3 linked regions of the Oreochromis niloticus genome follow. The protein of the gene in region 2 purifies or fractionates together with the protein of the main gene of each other region. This does not show direct contact. Links are inferred from orthologs where the notes say so. Each region holds a gene or a part of one and is shown on either strand. Other genes may lie near its edges.

The links. Proteins that work in one complex are often made in the same cells at the same time.
Region 1: the proteins of tmem259 (region 2) and tmub1 purify together in Homo sapiens (affinity purification with mass spectrometry; 3 studies listed by BioGRID, with this or other methods). This does not show direct contact. The link is inferred for Oreochromis niloticus from reciprocal best matches to the Homo sapiens genes TMEM259 and TMUB1.
Region 3: the proteins of tmem259 (region 2) and srprb purify together in Homo sapiens (affinity purification with mass spectrometry; 3 studies listed by BioGRID and IntAct, counting the BioPlex papers as one, with this or other methods). This does not show direct contact. The link is inferred for Oreochromis niloticus from reciprocal best matches to the Homo sapiens genes TMEM259 and SRPRB.

What each region holds. Positions count from the first base shown.
Region 1 is NC_031982.2:34,496,515-34,503,806, forward strand, and holds tmub1 (transmembrane and ubiquitin-like domain-containing protein 1), read right to left. Parts: upstream 3,078-7,292; 5' UTR 2,927-3,077; exon of another isoform or gene 2,692-2,926; intron 1,696-2,691; 5' UTR 1,667-1,695; coding exon 1,209-1,666; intron 1,075-1,208; coding exon 723-1,074; 3' UTR 142-722; downstream 1-141. UniProt on the Homo sapiens protein: Involved in sterol-regulated ubiquitination and degradation of HMG-CoA reductase HMGCR. Involved in positive regulation of AMPA-selective glutamate receptor GRIA2 recycling to the cell surface.
Region 2 is NC_031986.2:36,032,706-36,040,693, reverse strand, and holds the start of tmem259 (membralin), read right to left. Parts: upstream 3,095-7,988; 5' UTR 2,795-3,094; intron 1-2,794. UniProt on the Homo sapiens protein: May have a role in the ERAD pathway required for clearance of misfolded proteins in the endoplasmic reticulum (ER). Promotes survival of motor neurons, probably by protecting against ER stress.
Region 3 is NC_031979.2:23,283,563-23,290,562, reverse strand, and holds the start of srprb (signal recognition particle receptor subunit beta), read right to left. Parts: upstream 3,078-7,000; 5' UTR 3,063-3,077; coding exon 3,009-3,062; intron 2,910-3,008; exon of another isoform or gene 2,895-2,909; coding exon of another isoform or gene 2,875-2,894; intron 2,823-2,874; coding exon 2,456-2,822; intron 2,127-2,455; coding exon 2,032-2,126; intron 1,924-2,031; coding exon 1,846-1,923; intron 1,763-1,845; coding exon 1,680-1,762; intron 1,344-1,679; coding exon 1,207-1,343; intron 1,001-1,206; coding exon 946-1,000; intron 1-945. Other genes in the region: col26a1 (collagen alpha-1(XXVI) chain), read left to right, coding at 4,848-5,023, 5,171-5,293, 5,872-5,975. UniProt on the Homo sapiens protein: Component of the signal recognition particle (SRP) complex receptor (SR). Ensures, in conjunction with the SRP complex, the correct targeting of the nascent secretory proteins to the endoplasmic reticulum membrane system.

The DNA of each region.
Region 1 (7,292 bases), on a different chromosome or scaffold from region 2:
GAGGTTCTTTCGTAGTCGTCTCCTCGCGACTTTGGTTCAAGTCGTCAGGATCTTGATTTACGGAGCCGTGACCTGTGAACATGTCAAAGCAGCAGCTCTGACCAATCACATTACAGAAACAGTCTGAGGTCGTCACATGACTTCTTTCATTCTGAGCTTTTTGTATCCAACTTTATTTTGTAACATTACACACTTCCTGCTACACAGAGGGTCAAAGGTCAAACATAAGAGCCCATAAAATCTTCACCCTGGAAATGGACTCCATTATCAGCTGATCCTGGATGGTTAGAGAGTGCTTAGCAACAACCTGTCGCTAGGGAAAAATCTGTACTCCCCAACGCTGACCGCCCAGCCAATCAGGTGATGCCAACCAGCCATGTGACTGCAGCAGCTCCACCCTCAGAATCACCTGTACAGGTGTGACACACACACTCAGACACCACGGGATAAATTAAAGGTTTAATAGATTTTCTCCAAAAGCTGAAACTCTCTCTCTCTCTCTCTCACACACACACACACACACACACACACACACACACACACAGACAGGTGAGGCAGACAGGTGTGTCTGTGCCTCCCACAGAAATCAAAGAGGCACGCTGATGATGAAGATAAACGTGTGATCTAATGATAAGAGTCTCTGTCCTCACTGCGTCTCCATGGCAACAGAAACAAACAATAACTGCAGGTAGCGTCTCTTCCCGCTGCCGGCCCATGGGAGGCTAGCGGCGGTAGACGCCAAAGGCCACCAGGCTGAGGAGGATGGTGACCCCGACCAGCGAGGCGGTGGCGGGGGCGGTGAAGAACTGGCGATACTGGATCTGACAGTACCACAGCACGGAGAGCATGAGCACGAGCAGCGGGACCATCAGGCTGCCCACGTTCAGCGCCACGCGCACCTGGTCTCCCGCCCGCTGGCCCCCTGCCGCCCCCCGCGCCGCGTGCTGCGAGATGTGGCAGTGCAGCACGCAGTTATGGGCGAGGTTCAGCGAGGCGAGCGTCCGCGCGTCGTCCTGCAGCAGCTGGCCCTGATAGATGAGACGCACCTGATGCTCCTGCCCCGCAAAGTAGGTCCTGCAGGGTCAGAGGTCAGAGGTCAGCAAACGGGTCCGGGGGCACAGCCGGGAGGAGGAGCTTCAGGTTTGCCGAAACTCCTCCTCTACTATGCAGTAGTGTAGTGTATGGAGTATTACATGCAGCACTCGTACCTCTTAATGTACCCGACGGTGTCCTGTGGTTGGACCTGCGCCGTCCTCTCTGTGTCGTTGAGGAACTTGAGTCTGACCACCATGTTCCGCTGAGACACCGCGGCCTCTCCGTCTCCTCCTCTGCGCCTCACCCCGTCTCCTCCCACCTGTCCATCCTCCAGTGTGGTGGGAGCCTCTGTCAGGAAGCTGTCGTTCACAGAGGAGGAAGGTGAGGACGAGGACATGGAGAAGGTGGAGGGTGAGGATGGTGGGTAGGGGGACGAGGAGGTGGCGGTGGATGAAAAGGGCGTGTCCTGCTGGGTTTGCCCGGGCCTCTGTAAAGGGGAGGAGCCTGTGAACAGGTGTTCAGGGGGCTCGGATGTGCGGGTGGAGATCCAGGCGAGCAGCAGAACTGTCAGCAGCAGCAGAGTGGCGAACAGCAACGTCACCTCATCGCCGACACCTTCGATCAGCGCCATCGCCGCCAAGGTCAGCACAGCTCACACACCTGTAGGGAGAGGGCAGAGCTTAGCTTCAGGTATATACACACACTTCTTGTTTACCTGAGAACCCCTCACCTGTCCTTTCACTCCAGCATGACTGAAGCTTTTTATGAAATAGGGAAAGAAAGAAAACGCCCCTTTAGGGGCAGGTGTCCCACAGACGGAGCTCCAACGTCACACGACAGTATCGCAGTACTGTGTGGTGATAAATACAATACTGTGAGAGTACTACGAGCAGGTGAGCTCCTCTCTCAGGTCGATAGAGTTACTTCCTAACTCATAGCGAGCTGACGGCTCAGACACACGAGGGAAACCAACGTCCGAACATCTGCAGGACACCTGTAGCTGCCGGAAGCTGAACCTCACAGTGTCGCCTGATGGGAGGTTATCGACGGCTCCCAAACTGGATCCATGTAATCGCCATCAGACGACATCGGACAGGTACGGCGGGTTTTAGTAAAATCACCTTATCTCATTTGATAAAACACAAACTGATCAGCTGTGAGGTCGTGACCTGCAGATGCAGATCATCTGTACGTTTGTCAGAATATGGTAACGATAAAATCCCAGTAAACCTCAAAGTTCCGCCTCTACGTTACACCTGGGCCCAGTAAAGTCCAATCAGAGCAAGCGTCCTGTCCCCGCTCTACACACACACGCACACACACACACACACACGCACACACACACACACACACACACACACACACGCACACGCACACGCACACGCACGCGCACACACACACACACACACACACACCACAGGGTGACCTCTGGGACTCTATCTTGGGGAAACACACTCAGAGGTAAAAGCTCCCCTGGCGGATCGCACGTCACTTCCTGCGTGGCTGTCCAACCAGCGGGATGAAAAGCCCTTACACTTGTCCCCATACAACGCTAACTTCCGGTTTCCTGTGTGCCGTCAGCAGGTATCGATCCATGATTGATCCGGTTGTTAATCAAGTGTATTTTTGACGCCCTCTGCTCAGGTATTTGCTCACCTCTTTCCGCGGCCTCGTCACGTCACCAGTTGTTGGTCGCGTTTCACCGGAAGATCCGGGCATTTGAGCCACCCGGGCTCACCTGGATCAGCTCCGCCAGTCCCGCTAAAGTCCGCGCTAACAGCTACCCGCTGCGCTAAGATACGCGCTAACAGCTCCCGCTCCCAGGGAGCCTCTGACCCACAGTCTGAGTCTGCGCAGAGGCGCGAGGAGAGAGGAGACGACGGTCACTCACGTTCAGTCCAGGAGCTTCATGTCCTCCGCGTTAGCCTGCAGGCTAACAGCTGCATCACTTCCTGCTGCCGCTTCTTCTACTGCTGTGCTCCGCGGCGGACCCAGCGGAGGCTTCTTCTTCTCTATATTGCTTATTGGCGGTTGGCAAACAGCAAAATGGTGCATTACCGCCACCCACTGGTGTGGAGTGTGAACTGAATGTCAAAAATGAATCAAATCCTCCCAAACAAACGAGTCTGCCTTAAAAAACAAAATATGACCTGATCACTTCTCCAGTTCTTACGAAATAAATCAGCCAAGTCCAGTTTCACTTTCATCTCACCGAGCATCATATTTCTGACAATGCACTAAAACATGTCCTATTGTTTCTTCTTCTCTGTTGCAGTCACACTCCCCTGTGCAGTGCTTTCTCATTAAAAACAATGTGCTATTCAAACCAGCATGCCCAAATCTGAGTCAGGATATAGCTGTCTCCTCTCTCCTGTTCCTGTGCTTCTCGTTTCTCCTGTTTTTTCTTTGGTTTCGTAAAACCATCGCCCCCCCAGTGGAGGTTGCGCATGCGTACACCTGCTGGTCGCGATTACCGTAGCGTCTCCTTATGACGTAACCAGACAAAAGAAACAAGCAGAGTGTAACAGTTTCAAATGGTACAGAACAAAAAGTAAAGAAGAAGAAACGTGTTCGAGATCAGATCCAAATAAAGTTTTTAATAAATGAAACAAAACGAAAAGTGACATATTAGACTAAAGCCCTCTGTAACAGCAGATCAGACAGCAGAAGAAGAAAGGGGACCATAATAAATCATTACTGCAGGTTTACAGCTTCCAACAGAGAGTGTGGATTATGTGTACTCGTGGCCAGGAACGACCAGGAACGACAGCTGACACACAGGAAGTCTGACTGGTGCTCAACCGAGCCAGATTATCCAATCAGCATCACCTGTGTGAAGCTGGTGTGTGACAGCCTGAGGTACTGAGAAGGAACCCTGACCATGACCTGCTGCGACTTTTCAAAATAAGAGCATGAAGCTGTTGGTGATTAAGCTTTAGGAGTGCCTGTGTGTGTTTGTGTGTGAGCAGACCAGCAGATTTTACAGCATGAGGTTCACTTCACCCACAGAAACATGTTCAAACACTCTAAATACAAACATATATTAAAATGCATGAATATAATGCACTCATTTTATTTACAGTCACTTTATTAGGTGCACCTGTTCAACTCAGATATCTGACCAGCCAATCACAGGGTAGCAGCAAAGTGATGAAGAGGAGCTGCTGAGGTTCAAATGAAGCGTCAGAATGATGATTTAGGAGACTGGTGTGTCCAGACCCCAGTGAGCGTTTCAGGAGGAGGTGTACCTAATAAAGTGGCTGTGAGTGTAAATTCTGCACAAAGTCCTGTGAAATATGTGAGTTTCAACTTTGTGGGTCCGCTCAATCAATCAGTTGATCGGTCAGTGAACCGATCGATCATCTGCAGTGTTTCCTCTTCAGCATGTTGGGGCTCTGACAGCTGCAGAAACCTGATCAGCTGATTGGTGGCTCATCCTGGGGTGTCCACGTGCACAGCCTGACCTTTCATTGTTAGAGAAGCTGCTGCACGCGCTGTTAGTCTGGATGATGTCATTACCCCAACACTTTCCCTTTAACGTGCTGAACATCCGGGCAGCAGGGGGCAGCAGTGGCGCTCAGGGGCCACTGGCTGTGTTTGTGAGGGCTCCGAAGTCCACCAGAACCCGGACCCCAGCTCAGACCTCTGAGGGTCCCACAGGTGAGGCCCAGTGCACCTGTCCTCACCTCAGGTGGCAGGGTCCTCCGAGTTTACTCCAGAATTAAAGTCACAAGAACTCAAAATAAAGGCTGTTTTTATTCTAAATAACAAACTTTATTAGGACAAACAGCAGAAACACCTCACCCCACCTGCGGCAGGTGCGGAGTCAGATGATGACCTCACTGATCACGGGGACTCCGCTGCTCTTAGCGGGCTCCTCTGCCGCCTCTCAGCCCCCGATCAGCATCGCGCCGGGCGGTGGAGGGAGCCCCTTCGGCTTCCTCCCAGAGCATCCGCTGTGCTCCGCGGGCCCCCGGCCGCATCTCTGCCGGCGGTCCCCGGGCCTCCCGCCTGTTCAGCATCTGGACCCAGAGAGGGCTCGGAGTACGCAGTCGCAGTTGGGTTTGAGTGAAAACGGCGTAAATGTAAAATAGCGTCCGTTAAAGAGTGCGTGTGCGGCGGCTCCAGCGGGGCTGGCTGCCGCTGTGGCCGCTGTCTCTGGTTTCATCCTCCGCCTTTGTCCTCATGTTTTCCCCCGGAGTTCCTCCCCCTGCGGCGCTGGGCGGAGTTTCATACCGGACTAGACGCTCCTTTTGTCGGATTCGTTTCGACCTGACTCCCCGGGGTTTACGGCTGAAAAAACCACACTTCCACGGTCCCGAAAGCAGCCGAACCGGCACGGTGCCGTGCAGTATCACCCCGGCTTTCTGTCCGAACCAGCAGGTAAACGCCAGGTTCCGATTTTAAACGCATTTCTGGGTTTTTCGGCTCGCTCGTCCCCGAGTCGCCACAACATTCATGGCGGCTTTGCAGCGGAGGCTTGTGGGGCAGCTGCAGCCCGTCCCGCCCGCACAAAGCTCTGGTTCTGCGGGTAAAGGGTTCGGGGGGCTCGGGGGTTCTGGTGATCCTGCACCGCGGGTAGACTCGACCTCGACCTTTTTACGTGTCATCATTTTGTCGGATTAAAGCCCTTAAACGCTCCACGTGTGCCGTCCGGAGACTTTCGCTCGGATCTTTTATCCGGTTTCATCCGGTTTGTTCCGGTTTGGTCTCCGCGTCGCTCCGACACGTTTCACCGGGAAACCTTCGCGCTCGGTTCTGCGGTTCGTGCCAGCGGAAGCTACGTGCTGACTCCTGCCGGAGGATGGACGCCATTACCGGGCAGCTGGAAGCTGGCGGCCCGGAGACCTTACCGGGCCCGAGCCCAGCTCCCCGGCCGTCCGGACCCAGAACCCGGGGACCGTCTGCAGAACGGCACCGGGACCTGTGTGTGTGAGAGATCAGCTCCTGTCTGAGAATCGATCATCAGCAATGTCACCAAACACACTGTTTCCGGTTACCTCTGTGGTTACACTGGTGTGGTGATGTCACGTGAGTTTAATGCTCAGCCAGGTGAGAACAGTTGAGGTGCACGTCAGTGTGAGGTCATTCAAACAATGGCTGTGGTGCACACAGGTGGGCACCCTCACAGTGAAGCTGCTGCAAGTGAAACATTCTGATTGGCTATTCTGTGCCCCGTAGCTGCTGCTGTGACTGTGAGTGGGTGTGCACTCTGATCACACCTGTGCAGGTAGCTACAGACCCCTCAATCATCATTTTTGTCCAGTGGCGAAGGATCAAAATTCGCCATGGTGCCACAGACACGTGAACTCCGAAGCACAGCTGCATCTTCAGATGAATCTGACTAAAGGTGAAGGTGCCCAGGTGTGGGGGCGTGGCTTTAGGAACGACCCAAAGTTCATACACAGAGCTCAGTGTGCATTGACGTTTCTATCACTGAAGGTGGCGCTCTGGAGCCTTTCTGCACGTGGAGCATCCTCACTGCGTGTGCAGAATCTCGTTTCTGAGCACGCTCAGATTGATTTCTGTAAATGAAAAGAAGCCTTCAGGAAGTTCACACACTGTTGGGCCGCCATGGTGTGAGCTGCAAGCTGATTGGGCAGTGAGAGGATGAAGGTGTTAAAGTGTGGTGATGGCCAGCTGTCATCCTCTATAAATACACCTGGTACATTCTACACAGTAACAGGTGATGTCACTGACCTTCAACGTGTCACTGTTAGCCTACAGTGGGGCAGCAGGGATCAGGTGACGTGTCAGGTGATCAGGCGACATATTCTGCTCAGTGACTCACGCTCCACTTACTTCTAGCTTCTCACAGGAGAGTGACCTGCCACTGAAAGCAGCCAGCCTCCTCTGAGCTATGGAGAGCCAAACGTGCCAAAACGCTGCGCAGGTCAGCAGGGGGCGCCGTAAAAACATGGTCACATTAAATCCAGCCCCCTTTGGTCCTGCAGCCTTTCTCACCTGACATTGATTTAAAACACCTACATGCTGCTACTGCGCGCTGATTGGTCCTTCAGTGATTTATGACAGGGCGTCCTCTGTCACGGCGCCCGTTTCCAGCAGTCGGGCTGGTTTCACTCGGCTAAAGGATGAGCTCGAGAGCGCCCCCTGTGGAGCCGGAACAGCGCATTGGATCAGGTGTTGTTGGACTCGGTGCTGCCCCACACAGGCAGAAACAGGAAGTACACGAGCCGAGCCGTACTGATGGTCACGTGAGCACTTCCTGCTGCAGTAAACCTGTTTGATTTTGTGTT
Region 2 (7,988 bases):
GATCATTAAGGGATTTAGGTTGTCAGCTCAGAGCTGCAAACAATCAGTCACCTTTATTCTGATCATTAACTTTACACTAAACACGAGTATTGATTAACATGGCTTGTTTAAATAAAGTCATCTCTGTAGTTCACCTGCAGACTTTTTACCCAGAGTTCAGCGGGACCAGCAGGCATCACCAACAACCGATCCAACCTTTCATCCACTCAGATGACATGAGATCAATAACCTGCAGGTAATTTTTTTTTTAATCAGATCAGAGAAACAGAGACACTGATGATCTAATCTCTGTGCTTTAGGACCTGAACCTGCTTGACACCAGAAGTCAAAGGTGTCAGCATCTGACCAATCACATTTAGTGTTGAGGGCGATCTCAGCAGAGTGGCTGATTTTATTACAGAGAAAGACTGAGCTGAAGAACTTAACCCCCACCCCCAACGGCAGTACTTTATTTTTTCCTCAGCAATGCAGAGTGTGTACCGAGCAAGGCTAGCAAAGAGAACTGATACCAAAAAACTATCGATTACTTTCCTCTGCATCAATAACAGCAGCATCATCCTCAACTTTTCAAGCTGACACAGCTCCTCCCATCACTAGCAGCAGGTGGACAGTAGTAAACCTGAAGAAGCACCTTAGAGACCGTCAGTCCATCTTTAGGAGGAATTTAATGAATTCAGAGAAGCTCCTTTTTTATTAAACATTTACCTGCCTGCGACAGGTTAGTGTTAGGATTAGCTCTTCCCCCAACCTAACTGTTATCATAAAGCTAGCAGCTGATATTAAAGTGGGAGTGAGGCAGGAAACAGACAGGCTCAATTTAATGACAGCTAGGGATCAGAATTGTACAGATTCTTGTAAAAGGACCAGTTCACAGTTGTCCAATTCCTTAGAATTCCAGGAGCTATCAATTCCGCTTACGGATTCTTGTACTCACACTACGATCAGCTGATTTCAATTCTTGTGTCAGAGGAAAATAGCAGCTCAGTCTACAGCATGGATACTTTTCTTTTTATTCCACAAAAGGACAAGAGCAAGATGGTAAAGTGGAGACTGCGTGCGGGACAGAAACAACTGCATTATGCTTCTAACACAATGGCTCTTTACAAGCACCTGTGCAGCCAGCATGCTAACGCTAAGCAGGCCAGGAACCCAGAGTGATATATGCAGACCTCAGCGCAGCAGCCACAGCCTGAACTGCAGGTAACAAACTGATGAGCATGTTTATATTGTTAAATCGTAATTATGAGACATTGTGTTTCAGGTCATTTTAAGGAGTAACATGAAAGTAATGTAATGAGTAATGTAGTGAATGACCTTCTCCAGAGAGTAATTAAGTCACACATTACATAGCTTTTAAGGAAATATTCTGTGTAATATGAGTAATAGATTACTTTTCTTGAGTAATGACTCCAGCACTGATCATAACAAAAAGAGGAAATACCGTCAACATGGACAAACATGTGACCCACAGGGTGCAGTTAATGTGCATGGCTAATGTCTTTGATATGGTGGAGACTCTCAAAGCACAGCCAATAAGAATCAATAAGGAATCAAATCAATAAGTGATATCAATAATGGAATCAGAATTGCTAAATTCTTATAAATGTTCATCCCTAGTAACAGCAACAGTAAATAGTGAATCAGCCCATCCTAAAAACACAAGCAGTGAAATGACAGTGACAGGTAAGTAGGAAACAGGAAGTAGCAGGACTGCACCTAAGTGTGCACGTCAGGATCGCTTCTTCATTTCATCTTCTCCCCTCCCAGCATCCAAAATCCAAGCTTCACATTGAGTCCGACCAGCATTTCTTACCACCGTGATTTCACGGGTAAAGGGAGCTGTTTTTAGAGGTTTAGATGTTTTCTGAGGGAATACTTTTAAATTCCTTCATGAAGGAAACTCCTGGAGCTCAGGTGAGCTCAGACTGATGATGATGATGATGATGATGATGATGGATAAGCTGTGGCAGCAGGTCTGCAAAAACTACAGACTGAGATCACCAGGATCTTCTGCATCCTCCAGCTGCAGCCTGACGATCTCCAGGTGAGACACCACAGACCAGCTTATCCCCCCCCACCGCCCCACAGGTACACATAAATACTGATGACTTCAGGAAGAACATCTGAGACATGTGGTTCATCAGCATTGAGTCAGCTGACTCATGTCTCCATTAATCTCACCTGTGAGCCACAGACCTGAGGCCGCTCTCAATGACAGGTGTGAGAGGCTGTTCTTAGTGTGGGAACCTCAGCAGGCGCCCCCCTCCTGGACATCAGAGAGCATGCAGCTCTCCATCTTTATTTACAGTCTGTGAGGTCTCAGGTGAAACAGGAAGTGGCATTTAGTGACTTTTTGCCATAAAGACAGCAGGATTGGGACCATAGGGTCACCATAACAAGACTATGAGGGTCTCAGGGTGTGACATGATCGTTCACCACGTGACCAGCTCAGGATTGCAGGGGACTCCTGGACATTGAAGAACATGCAGCTACCTGTGAGAGCGGGAGGAGCCTCTGAGCTCAGTCTGATCCTCACTAACTTCCTGTCTGAATAAAGTTTAACGAAAATAAATAAAGTTTCTCACTGCTCCACTTGCTGCGCCTCAGGACAGGTGATGTGATCAGCTGATCGTCAGCCCGGAAATGTGGTGTGTGTGTGTGTATTCTGATCAGCTGATCCTGATTGGCAGGCTCAGGTGTGTGGTGGCTGCTTCAAGCAGCTGTCCCCCCGCCCCGCCACCCCGCGTGTGTAATCCATAGACACCCTCACCAGCGGCAGGTGACGCTGACTCACCTGTGCGCGGCCTCTTCGTTGTTTCTCTCGCTTACCCACGAACGCCACAGTTAGCAGTTAGCAGCGCTAGCAGCAGGGTTAGCTCTGCGGCTAAAGGCGGAGTCCGGAGGCAGCCGGACCGGACAGAACCGGGAGCCGTCTCGGTCCCAGCCGACAGGTGAAAGGACGGAGGGTCCGGGTACACGGAACCGGAGTACAAGGTGAGGTCAAAACCCGGAAACTGTGGCTAAACGGCGGCTAACACAAGCTAACGGAGGATAAGAGTCTGACTACTGTCAGAGCGTCACTCAGACCGGAAATACACGTCCTAATACCGGAAGTAGTGAACCACGGCTGGGGTTCTTATGTCCCTGAGCGCTGCCTGGCAGGCGCCTCGTGCTGGTAGGAAGCTTCTGCACGTTTATTAACGGTGAACAGCTGATACGTCACTGGTCCACGAGTGTCACGAGTCCAAAAACTGGGATTGAGCTGATGGAGGAGCCTCGGGTGAGAAGGTGGGGGAAGAATCACAGAAATAAGTTACATGATGTGAGGCTGTGATCAGCTGACCTGCTGTTCTCTGTGGATCTGAGAAGACGTTTCACAGACGTCACACTGAACAGCTGTTCTGCATCAGCCAATCACTGTAGACTAACCAGCACTGAGCTGCCAGTACGGCGTGTTCTTCATATAACAGATCTAATGTCTGATTAAGACCTCTGAACAGCACATGGGAGCTTCTCGTCCTCTCAGAGACCCTGAGTGTGTGTAAATACAGCAGCTGGACTCTCAGACCTGATAAACTGCACAGACACAGTTTGTGTTGCTCATATTTGCTGAGCTGACTGATTACCTCACACTTAAACATTACACAGCTTCAGCTCCTGTCACACGTTTCTATATGTGAATGTTTCAAAGGGACGAGATAAAGACGTGACGAAGCTGATGTCACACGTCATCATTACTTAACAGGTGTCTCCATGCTGTCACTGGAAGCTAAGTGATCAGCTGGTTCACGCATATTACAATCTAATCAGATTTAACCGTTCATTAACTAAAGGTGTTGGGTTGTTCCCACCCACTTTGACAAGGTGAACTCTGCCCATGAGGATGGAGGTCTCTCCATCAAGCAGAACAATAAAACATCTTCATACTTCATACGATATGCATTCACATCGTTCAGCTGACTGAGCAGGTGGAGGAACCCTAAGATCTGTGTGGGGAAAATACTCCGCTCACAATCATTTCTATTGACAGCTCCAGCAGATTTTCTTAGTGTTTGAATTGTTTTACATTTATTGATTTAAAAGGGACAGTGTGTATTAATGAACATATATCAATGCAAATATGCCAGATTTAGCCAGAAGGCTACTTTTCATCTGTAGTCCCTGACAGGTCAGACAAAAATTATAAATAAAAAACTATAAATTTAGCACACCTTCAGACAAAGTACAACAAAGTAGCGCTAACAACAAATCCGTAAAATTATGTACAGGCTGTGATCAGCTGACCGGCTGCTCTTTGTGGATTTACACACCTGAATTCAACCAGATGTGAGCAGATGTTTTGCAGCTGTCTCGGCTGATTTCTACATTAACAGTATACTGAATGCCATCTTTGTACCAGACAGTATAAAGTCACTATAACAATTGAATTCAGTGAACAAATCTAAACATCATCATCTTACATGTAAATTAATCTCTGCTACATGCTGCTGAACACTGATCACCACAGCACCATAGCAAAGTGCACCACAGCAAAGTGCTTTACTGTGAATTCACCACTGTATTGCAAAGTAACCTGTTTATCCTACACAAAACTCCCCAGAATTGTCAGAAAACATTTGAATAACACAAAATTAGTATACTTAGTTTGTTTCACAGGAAGTTTCACAAAATGAAAATACATAATTTATAAAAACACATCAAAAACAATATGTGATTAAACACGAGGACTTGCATGTAAGCTTTATATGAGCAGATCTTTAAATCTAACCTCTTTTTTTTCCTCTCCTCTCCTGTCCTGTCTTTTTTATCTTTCTCCGTCTCTGAGTGAAGTTAGTGTCTCTTGGAAATGAGATTTTTAATCTCAATGAGATTTTTTACCTGGATAAATAAGGGACTAATAATACTTAATAATGTGGCCAATGATTCATCAGTTTTTCCTGAAATAGACTGAAGATGTGAAATCCTCAAACCTGAGATATTCATTACTCTCGTCATCTTTCATCATCATCCTCAGACATCAGAAACAGGGCAGGTGTTTAACTGTCAGAATGAAAACTCTTTTTTAACTTTATTCTAGGTCAGAAACTCTGAGGTTTCACATCAAAGTTCATTCAAATTTAAATTTTATTTTTCACATACACAATCATACACAGTACGACATGAAGTGAAATCCTTATTGCTGTGCAATTCCTGACCAAATAGAAGAACAAAACTAAAGAAATTAGCAGTGTGCAGATTGACAGTGAACAGTCAAAAATACAGTAATTGAGATATATTATTGAAGTTAATTATATTATTTCAGATGAAGCTTCACAATCAGGTGAGATTACCAGGAGCCAAAAAGACACAGGAACTGAAAGCTTCAGTCTCCACACTCATCACAGTCAGTCCTGATAAGCAAACCTGATCTACTTATGCTGCTGTAGACTCATTCTCTCTGTACGTTTCTGCAGGTGGGCCTCGTGGTTTCTGACTCCACCCCTTGTCCTTTACACTCTTTACGGTCTGCTGTGAGCTGACGGTGTGTAAATGAAGTTTTATTGAATGACATCACAGCATGTGTTCTTATCAGACTCAACTCATAGTGAATCACTGATCACTGATCAATTCCTCCCTGGACGGAAGCTGTGTTTCCACTGTCAGACTGAAGGGGGCGCCATCTGTCAGCAGAAAACCTGATCAGGACACACACACACATTTTCCCAGTCTCTGTTGCCTTGGTAACACCCTGGCTGCTGGATGGCCTCCAGGAAATGAAGAGTGAGATGAGTGGGAGGGAGGTGTGTGTGTGTGTGTGTGTGTGTGTGTGTGTGTGTGTGTGTGTTCATCCTGGTTTGATTCTAGTCGGGGTTTTTGAACTGAGGTCCTGCAAAGACAAAATTTGTGATGAACTTCTGCATCCAGCAGGGGGCGCCTAAGCCATCCACAGAGAGGTGAGGAAATGCATGCAGGGTTGAGCAAGTGGAGATTAGTGTCAGGGTGATTCATGATAGAAGGATAGCAGCAAGACTGAAAGGGAAGGTTTAAAGATGGCGGTGAGACCTGCTGTGATGAACAGGATCAGAAATGAGTCCATCAGACAGACGGCTCAAAGTCAGAAAGGCTGAGAGAGGCATGCATGTGCAGAGGAAGGAGGGTGAAAGATGAAGATGGAGCTTCAGGGAGGAGGAGAAGAGAAAGAGCTCAGAGGTTCATGGATGTAGTGAAGGCCATGCAGAGGGTCCGTGTGACAGGAGGAGATGGAGGCATGGGCGAGTGTGGGGACTGCTAAAGGAGGGAGTGATGTGTGTTGGATCTTATCTCAACATCACTGTTGCCATGGAAACTGCATAATGAGCTGAAGGTGCAGGACATTAGGCAGCTTGTTTGCGTGTGTGATTGGTTCTGCTATTGATCCTTGAACCTCTGTGAGACAGATGTGGTCACCTGACTTACCTGAGCTGGACATCGGTGTCTCCAACCTGCTCAGTCCTAATGAAGCTGTTGATAGGTGGAGGACTGACAGCACCTATAATCCCCCTGTAACCCTGAGGCCCCTCCCTGGGCAACTTAACCACCATCTGCACCCTAACCTGTGTGATCTTAATGACTCGTATGATGATGGGCTGGGGCAATGCTGGTATTCGGCCACACAAATGTAACTGCATGCAATTCTGTAAAAACCAACAGCTGTTGGGTTTTAAGAAAATTCCAGGTTTTCCAGGCTGGCCATGACGCTGCACTATGGTGACAGGAAACAGCTGCCACATACAAAGCTGTACCTGCTGGAGGTTGAACACCCACGACTCCCCATCAGCAATCTGCCTCAGAAGAGCTGAAACATGTTTAAAAGCCCAGCTGGTTCAGCTCAGCACTTTAACTAATAATCATCAATAACTGATTGATACTCTGATCAGTGATGATGCAGTTTCATGTCTCTTTTCTTTCCCCCACACTGTAAATAAAGACGGATGCAGATCGACATATTCTCTCTAACACCCAACAGGGGGCGACTGCTCTCCTGACCTCTGAGATCAGTTTCAGCTTTTTTGTTTGAGTATAGCATGAGCCGAGGTACAAAACGCCATTGTCCTGGACTTGCTGGTCAGGTGCTTTCACTGTGATGAAGGCTGAGAACCAGAGAGAGCATCCTTTTCTTGTTTAGGCTTTGAAAACATGAAGAAGGTCCTGCTGAGAGTCTGTGACAATTCGAAGGGTCGAGTCATGATGGCAGCTCTGAGCGCGCCATCATAATTTATGATGAACAACTCAGGAGCGCCAAAACCACCGTCATCCTCACGCTGATGCTGAAGATGTTCTGATAATAGTGAGATGTTGAATGAGCTGTACGTCCCACCCAGTTGAGCTGAGATTGGTTGGACTGGAGGTTCTTAATAGTGTCTCAAGGCAGTGCTCTGGCCTGTAAATGCCTTGCTGGTCTCTCAGCACTAATTGGTCAGTTTAAGCAAACTCCCCATGGGACCAAAACCTCCAGGAAGCTCAAATGATGGAGAGACTGAGAGAGGATGAAAGAGGAAATTAACGAGTTGACGAAGAGTCTGAGGGATGTCTTCATCACATCATCTGTGGAAAAGTTAGTGCAGCACAGAATCGGCTTCATCCTCTGCATAACAGGAAACAACTGGGATTAACAGTTATTACTGAGAGCCAAGAAGGCATCATTGTAAGAAAAGAGGAAGACACAGTGATGAAGAACAAGCTTTAATTGGAACCACAGAGCATGCACCTGAAACAGCTTCTTCAGCTCTTTTTATAGCAGCACTTTATACACTCATATGATGCTTCATGGTTTTACATTCAGATGAGAGCGCGCCGATTTAGAAACATCACATGCAACAACACATGGACACGGGAACAGCAGGACGGACCGCCTCGTATTTACAGACCGATTGTTTCAGGATGTTATTCTATAACATGTTATCCTATCATCCTCAAACCAGCATTTACATGATGGAATGAATCAGCATGCGTGATGTCATCAAGCAGCA
Region 3 (7,000 bases), on a different chromosome or scaffold from region 2:
GCAGTAAATAAATAAATAATTTGTGTTGTACCAGGTGGCCCTGATTTTAGCCTAAGCCAAACTGCCAAACTCCCATCTTGGATTTGGTGTAAGGCCAAAATCCACATACTGATAAATTTACCAGAACAACACTGATTGTTGAAATACATCTATTTTTAGAGGTCATATTTTGAATAATATGCAAAATGAAGACTACATTAAAAAATGTAAACGTATATCGTCTTTGGACTGTGGGAGGAAGCCGGAGTTCTCAAAAAGAACCCATGCAAACATGAGGAGAACATGCGAACTCCACAGAGAAAGGGTCTGACCAGGTGATGGATTTGAATTCAGGACCTTCTAGCTGTGAAGCAACAGTGCTATTTATGGTGTGGAGTTTGCATGTTCTCCCGTGTCTGTGTGGGTCCTCTCTGGGTACTCCGCCTTCCTTCCACAGTCCAAAGACATGCAGTTAGTGGGGTTGGGTTAATCGATGATTCTAAATTGGCCATAGGCGCGAATGTGAGTGTGAATGGCTGTCTGTCCCTCTGTGTTAGGCCTGGCGACCTGTCCAGGGTGTATCCCGCCTCTTACCCTATGATACCTGGGGGTAGGCTGCAGTAACACATCACAGTCCACATTAAACACACACATCCTACAGTCTGCGGTAACAGGTTCATAATAAATACAGGATCAGTCACTGGCTTATCAGCGGAAATATGAATAAAATGGCAAAATTACTACACAAAAACTGAAAAACAAAAAATTCATATCTGCAACAATCCTTGAATCCTGCTATGTGGCATTCATTATTTTTTGCGGTTTTATTTATTTACACTGAAAACCACGTTTAAGAAAAAGTTCCACTGCTTTGCAATGGACAATAAAGCTTTGATTCAAAACCTGTTGCGATGCTCCTAAAAATATTTATTGTATAAGAAGACAACAAAACAGAGAGTTACTTACAGCTCCTTTTCCAGCTGCTGCTGAATCAGTTTAGCGGATTTTGCCATGGTGATGTCTACAAGATAAAAACACCAGTGAATAACCTGGATGTAGAGTAAGCAGTGAAGGCTCAGATATTAGGACTCAGAATGGGACTACACTCTCAGTGAACTGCAATTACCTTATGTGACAGAAAACTATGAATCTTTCTATTTAAACATGAGACAAACCAAATAAAAAGTTTCCACCAGCTCTCTAAAAACTCTCTGAGGGTTACTGTACCTTGTTTGTTGCACGCCACCACGAGAGCCGGGGCGTTTCTGGTGATCACGGCGTCCGTCAATAACACATACAGGAACTCGGCCACGTCTCTCACTTCCTTCTGGAAGATCGCGCTGTCCACTACAAACACAATCGCTCTGAAAAAGAGGACAGGGTGATGATAAGACAGATGTGATATGGAACAAGGGGACAATTACTTTTTTCACACGGGGCAGGCAGGTTTGGATAGCTTTTCTGCCTTAATCAATGAAATCATGACGTTAATACTGCACTTACTGCACTTTGTATTTACTCAGGTTATTTCTAACATTAAAGTGTGTTTGATGATCCAAAACATGCAAGGGTAAAAATGGCTTTACCATCCTTTCTATACAGTCTATGGTCAGAACATTTCATTCTGTGGAAGCAGCATTATTCCATTCACCTGTCAGCGGTTCACACATACATCACCTCACAGATCGTCCTGCTCTCACCTGGCCGCAGACTTGAACTTCTCCAGGTACTGAGGACGGAGGCTGTCGTGGCCTGGCAGGTCTATGAGAGTCCAGGTGCTGCCCTGCAGACGGGGTGGAGAAAAACAAAGGTGTAAATCCCACCCTCACACGAGTTACTTCTGTCCACTAACAGTCCTCAACTCACCCTGTCATTTTTGGCTTTGTATGGAGCACTGCTGTCAGTGATGGAGGTCTGTGTCCGCTTGAACTTTCCAGACAGCAGCTGCCAACACATGAAAAGCACACAAACAAATAAATAAACAAACAAACAAACATGAGCTGCAGGGCACCCCCCTGCGGGCTTCCGGGGTCTGTCTCAGCATTAACTCACCCGGCTGAAGAGCAGGGTTTTCCCCGAGTCACACAGCCCCACCAGCAGCACGGAGGTGCGCACAGTCTTACTGGTGAGGAAGTACTTCAGAAAGACTGCAAACACAAAGCAAAGGGTACACATTCAGTGACTGATTCTCAACGTATCAAAGGCACTTGCCGTCCGTTAGCCAAAAATGTGTGGTAGCTCTAAGTTTGAATGACTTCCCGTGAAACCGACAGCCGTTGTTAGCTTCTTAGCTTGCTACTTAAGCTAAAGTATTTAAAGCATATATTAATTTATTAAAACAGCGCATGTTATTGTATTTTCAACGTTAAAAAGCCCTGTTCACATATCAGGTTTATCACAGACCAGCTGTTTGCGGCTAACGGGGCTAAGCTACACGCTTGGCCTAGCCTGCTAAGCTGCTAAAATGACTTCTTACCACAGGTGATAACAACCACCGCCAAAGCGACGATAACTCCGATCAGGAAGACCGGGTCCTGCTCTTCTAGCTGCTGCCGCAGGGACTCAATGTAAGGTTCAAACGGAGATCCTGCCATCTCCACGTCTGCTTTCTCTCCCACGTTTCCACCGGTGTTGTGTGCTTCCATCACTCCGTCCAAGCTGCTCTGAAATGAGACACGTCTCCTTCCATCTGAAGCCTGTAGGGAGCCACAGCGACCAGCAGGGGGCGCCCGCCGCTCGGGACATTCTCCGTTATGGGTCTGGACCACAGACTGTATGTAAAAGACATTAAAGTGCTGGAACCAGCTAGAGGTAAATGACAGTTTCATGCCACGTTTATTTCTCTGGAAGTAAATGGAAGATAGTTTTCATGAGAAAAATAGAAAAAAATAGTACCTGGTAATGTAAAATGTCATAAGTTACTCAAGCCAAATGACGCAGTTATCTTAGGGGATAAGGAAGTATAAAAACAAACAGCTAATTTTAACACGCAGGAAGTGATTCAAAATCAAAAGTGAAATCAAGCATACACTGCAAATCCGGTGTAGTCCTCCATCTCCTTCTGACAGCTGCTTATTTCTCATCCATTCTGGTCATTCCCAATAGAAACGGTCACCACAGCGGATCATCTGCCTCCACCTCACCTAAAGCCTAGCATCCTCCTCTGTCACACCATCCTCCTCTGTCATGTTTGTAGTGATGTCCTCCTTTACTACACGCACGAATCTTTGCGGGCCTTTCTTCCAGCTAGCTGCTCCATCCTTTTTTCAGTAAATCCACTGTCCCTCCTGGGAGCTGACCTGAGCTTTTCCTCTGGTGTACTTATTTCTCATCCATTCTGGTCATTCCCAATAAAAACCTTTACACCTTCAGATCAGAATGTCTCACTGTCATCTTGTAAACCTCCCCTTCCACTCTTGCTGCTAATCTTCTGTCACATATCACTCCTGATACTCATCTCCACCCACTCCACACTCCTTGCACTGTCTTTTTCTCTTCTCTTGTGCCCGTCTGTTGATTTGGATGGTTGACCCCAGGGATTTAAACACCACCTTCACTACATCTGCTCCTTGCTCTTTCACATTTCCTCCCGCCTCCCTCTCATTCACACACACACACACACACACACACACACACACACACACACACACACATATTCCTTCTTGCTTCTACTCACTGTTTTGGAGGTCTTCTCTCCAGCACATACCTCCACCTCTCCAGAGTCTTATCTGCTCCCTGCTCTCACAACAGATCATACTGCCGTCTGCAAACATCACAGTCTACTAGTCTCATTACATATATGGAATTTTCTGTAATTTGCCTGCAAGTAAATGAGTACATCTGTGCATATTTTCTGTGCAGTCAAAAGACTCATGGCTCTGTTATTTGGTCATGATATGACAATTACTTCGTTTGTGTTCTGTTTATATTTTGAATTCTGTGGATGTATAATTTGCTTTCCGGTGTTTCTGTTTTCAAGAGTAGGGATTTAGCAAGGTCAAACATTTGTTCAGATCTAGATGCCATTGTTATGAATACAGCGTTAAAATATGCATCTACCACGGCAAACGTGTGCAAAATGTTCTATTTTAAATTTTTATTCCCTTTAAACGAGAAACTGACTTTATTCTCTTTGTAGAAGCTAAATGTGAAGACAACATGTAATCAGATAAAGGAAAACCCAGTTTGGAGCTTCATTCACAATCTTCTCATTACGTAATAAAGTACTGGAACTGTGGATTCTAACAGAGTTTAGTTTAGTCTCCAAAAGAAAAGCAGCTTTATTTGATAGAGTGATGAGAACAGGCATATTGATCATATCTGTTACCCCAACTCATGCAGGCTTTAAGAATTTAGACCTTGTGGTGTAGTCTACGACACTGTCGCGTCAATAAGGGTAATCAAAGACATAACACAAGCCCATAAGAAATGCGTTAGCGCTCGCTAATCACTTGTGGCCATATCGTTCACATTATCTTATATGAAGACAGAGCTCGTGGTTTTCAATCGAGACCAGATGCGCTTTTACGCACTCCGTCTCCAACCCTCACACTCATTGCGCTTTTTACGCACGCTGGATATTTGACTCCTCGGTCCCCGGCACCATGTCAAACGTCAGAAACGCAAATTATTCTAAAGGAAGAGGTTGTGTGCCATTCATTTCGGGCTCTTGAGTTGGGGCCCGGTTGTTTCTCGACGTGGAGAAGGGATGACCAACTCGTTAATGGTGGGATTTCCATAGTTTTTCTTTTTTTTTCTTCTTCTTCCTCCATTCCGCTTCTGTAGAGCTTCGACCAAAGAGGGATTTATAACTTCGGGATTTACTTGAAAACCGTCCGCGGATATCTCTTTCAGGGATAAATCAAACAATGATGCCTCTTTCTTTTCTCTGCGCGTTCTGCATGTGGATAAGTTTAGTCTGTCCTTCGCTGGGAACGGGCTTTGTTTATCACTTCCCGGGCATCACTTTGCAGCGGCAGCGCATCAAATCGGAACAGAGCGGCGTCACGGGACCGCCGGGTACTGGATCCCGAACCCAACTCAGGTGCGCACACACTGGAGGGGTTGTAACGATTTAACGCAATTTATTGTGAAATAAAAACGGATCTAGTGCGAGATCACTGCTCTCTCTCGCTCTATTTCTCTCTCTCGGTATTAATTACGATAACATCTCTTTTATTCCGTCTTTTAGGAACTGGTGTCAGTACACTGTTTTCAAAACAGTGTCTTGCCAGGTGCACAATGGGACTGAAACCACAGTGCAGAGAGTGTTTCAGAACTGCCGGTGGCCCGGACCCTGTTCCAAAGTCATCAGGTATACTTTTGTCTCCAGTCAAGTCAGATTCTTCACTGGTCTGTGATGCAAATGCAACTTTGCTTTTTACAATAAGTCATGAACGTGGGAGGTGCTGCCTGGTGGCTGGGGCAGATTTAGTGAAAAAGTGGCTTTAGGCAAATTCAGGCATGGAGCCTCTGTTGTGAATCACTTACATCCCTAATCTGGTTGAGAATGTCTGCCAGAAGAGGATGTTCAAATAAAGTGATACTGTTAATGCAAAACAACAGAAATAATTGTCTGAAAGTTAAAGTTCTGCACACATATTTATGTATGTATGACTGAAGAACCACCCCCACAGTGAAATGAAGAGTTTTCATTGAAAAAGGGGCACTGAATGTCTCTTAGAGGTACGAGGTTGCATAAAATGGAAAGGAAATTATGCGTAATTGCATTCCTAATTCAAAGCTGGCGAGGCTCTTTGGATCTTTATAATTACCCCCCACCTCCATTTGGGTTCCCAGTCTATTGTCCACTGTACCAAGAAGCAAAATACTTCATGTTGTATGCGTGTTTGTGCATCACATGTCCCTAAAGTCAGTGAGTGTCTGTTCCAGCTACAGGACTATGATCAGGCCGTCATTCAGGACTACCTACAAGCAAGTCACTGCACTGGAGTGGAGATGCTGCCCAGGATTTGTAGGAGAAGAGTGTCGTGAAGGTGAGTTTCTTCCTTTCTTTCTTTTGCATGACGCCGCCTTGCTTAGACTTGGACTCGAGGAGCTGTAGGATTTTATCTGAGACTAATTTTTCCAGGGACTGAAACAAAGGCCATGTGTTATGCCTGGACCCATCTGCATCTTTTTAGCAGCACCATGCAGCTTTACCCACATCAGTTTCTCTTTTATATGTTTGCTGGTGTATTTGGGTAGGTCGCTAATCCCGTGTGCCATATTGTGCAGCAATACAATTGTAGAGTTGCTTTGAATTAAGACTGAAAGCCTGTGTTGGGTTGCTTTGGGGAACTGGGACAGCAGGAAATCAACGGTTGAAAGAGATCCTGTGCACTCTGGTTTTGTACTTTTTTTCTTTTTTTTTAAACATTTTTACAACCATGCATTCAAGACGCTACAGTGCCTGGAAGGAGGATTAGAATCACATTCTCTCTCTATGCTGCCCTCACAACACGTGACCATGTGAAGCTAGACAGCCAGCGAACAAAATAGACGAGATCTTCCACACAAGGCTTGCTTTTCTTGCTTTTAATGAAGATCCTTTAAAGCCTTATCCTCTCTCAAGGCTTCTCCTTTCTATTTCTTATTTGTAACTGAAATATACAAAAGGTAAAAATAAATTGCTAGCTAATACACATCTTAATGACAAACTTAATGATTAGCCTAGCTTAACACGTGCGTTACATTAGCATCACAGTTCACTCCATGTAAACACATATAAAAGTCATTTCTGAACACATTAATACTTACAAAGACGAACGTTTCCCAAGGTACAAGCGTGTAGAGCACTTTTAGCGTGTACATGAGCTTATTCACAGTTTTAATACTGCCGAAGCACTTTTCACAACATTAACGGAGAAAATACGTCAAAGATAGGTGAATGATCAGAGCGCTCCCTCGCTCCCATTTCCGCACATACAATACAAAGATCGCTTGTGATAACGATGTCTCACTCTGAGCAAATTTCAAACACACACATCTTAACTGTTTTTAGCATGAATTACTTATATTT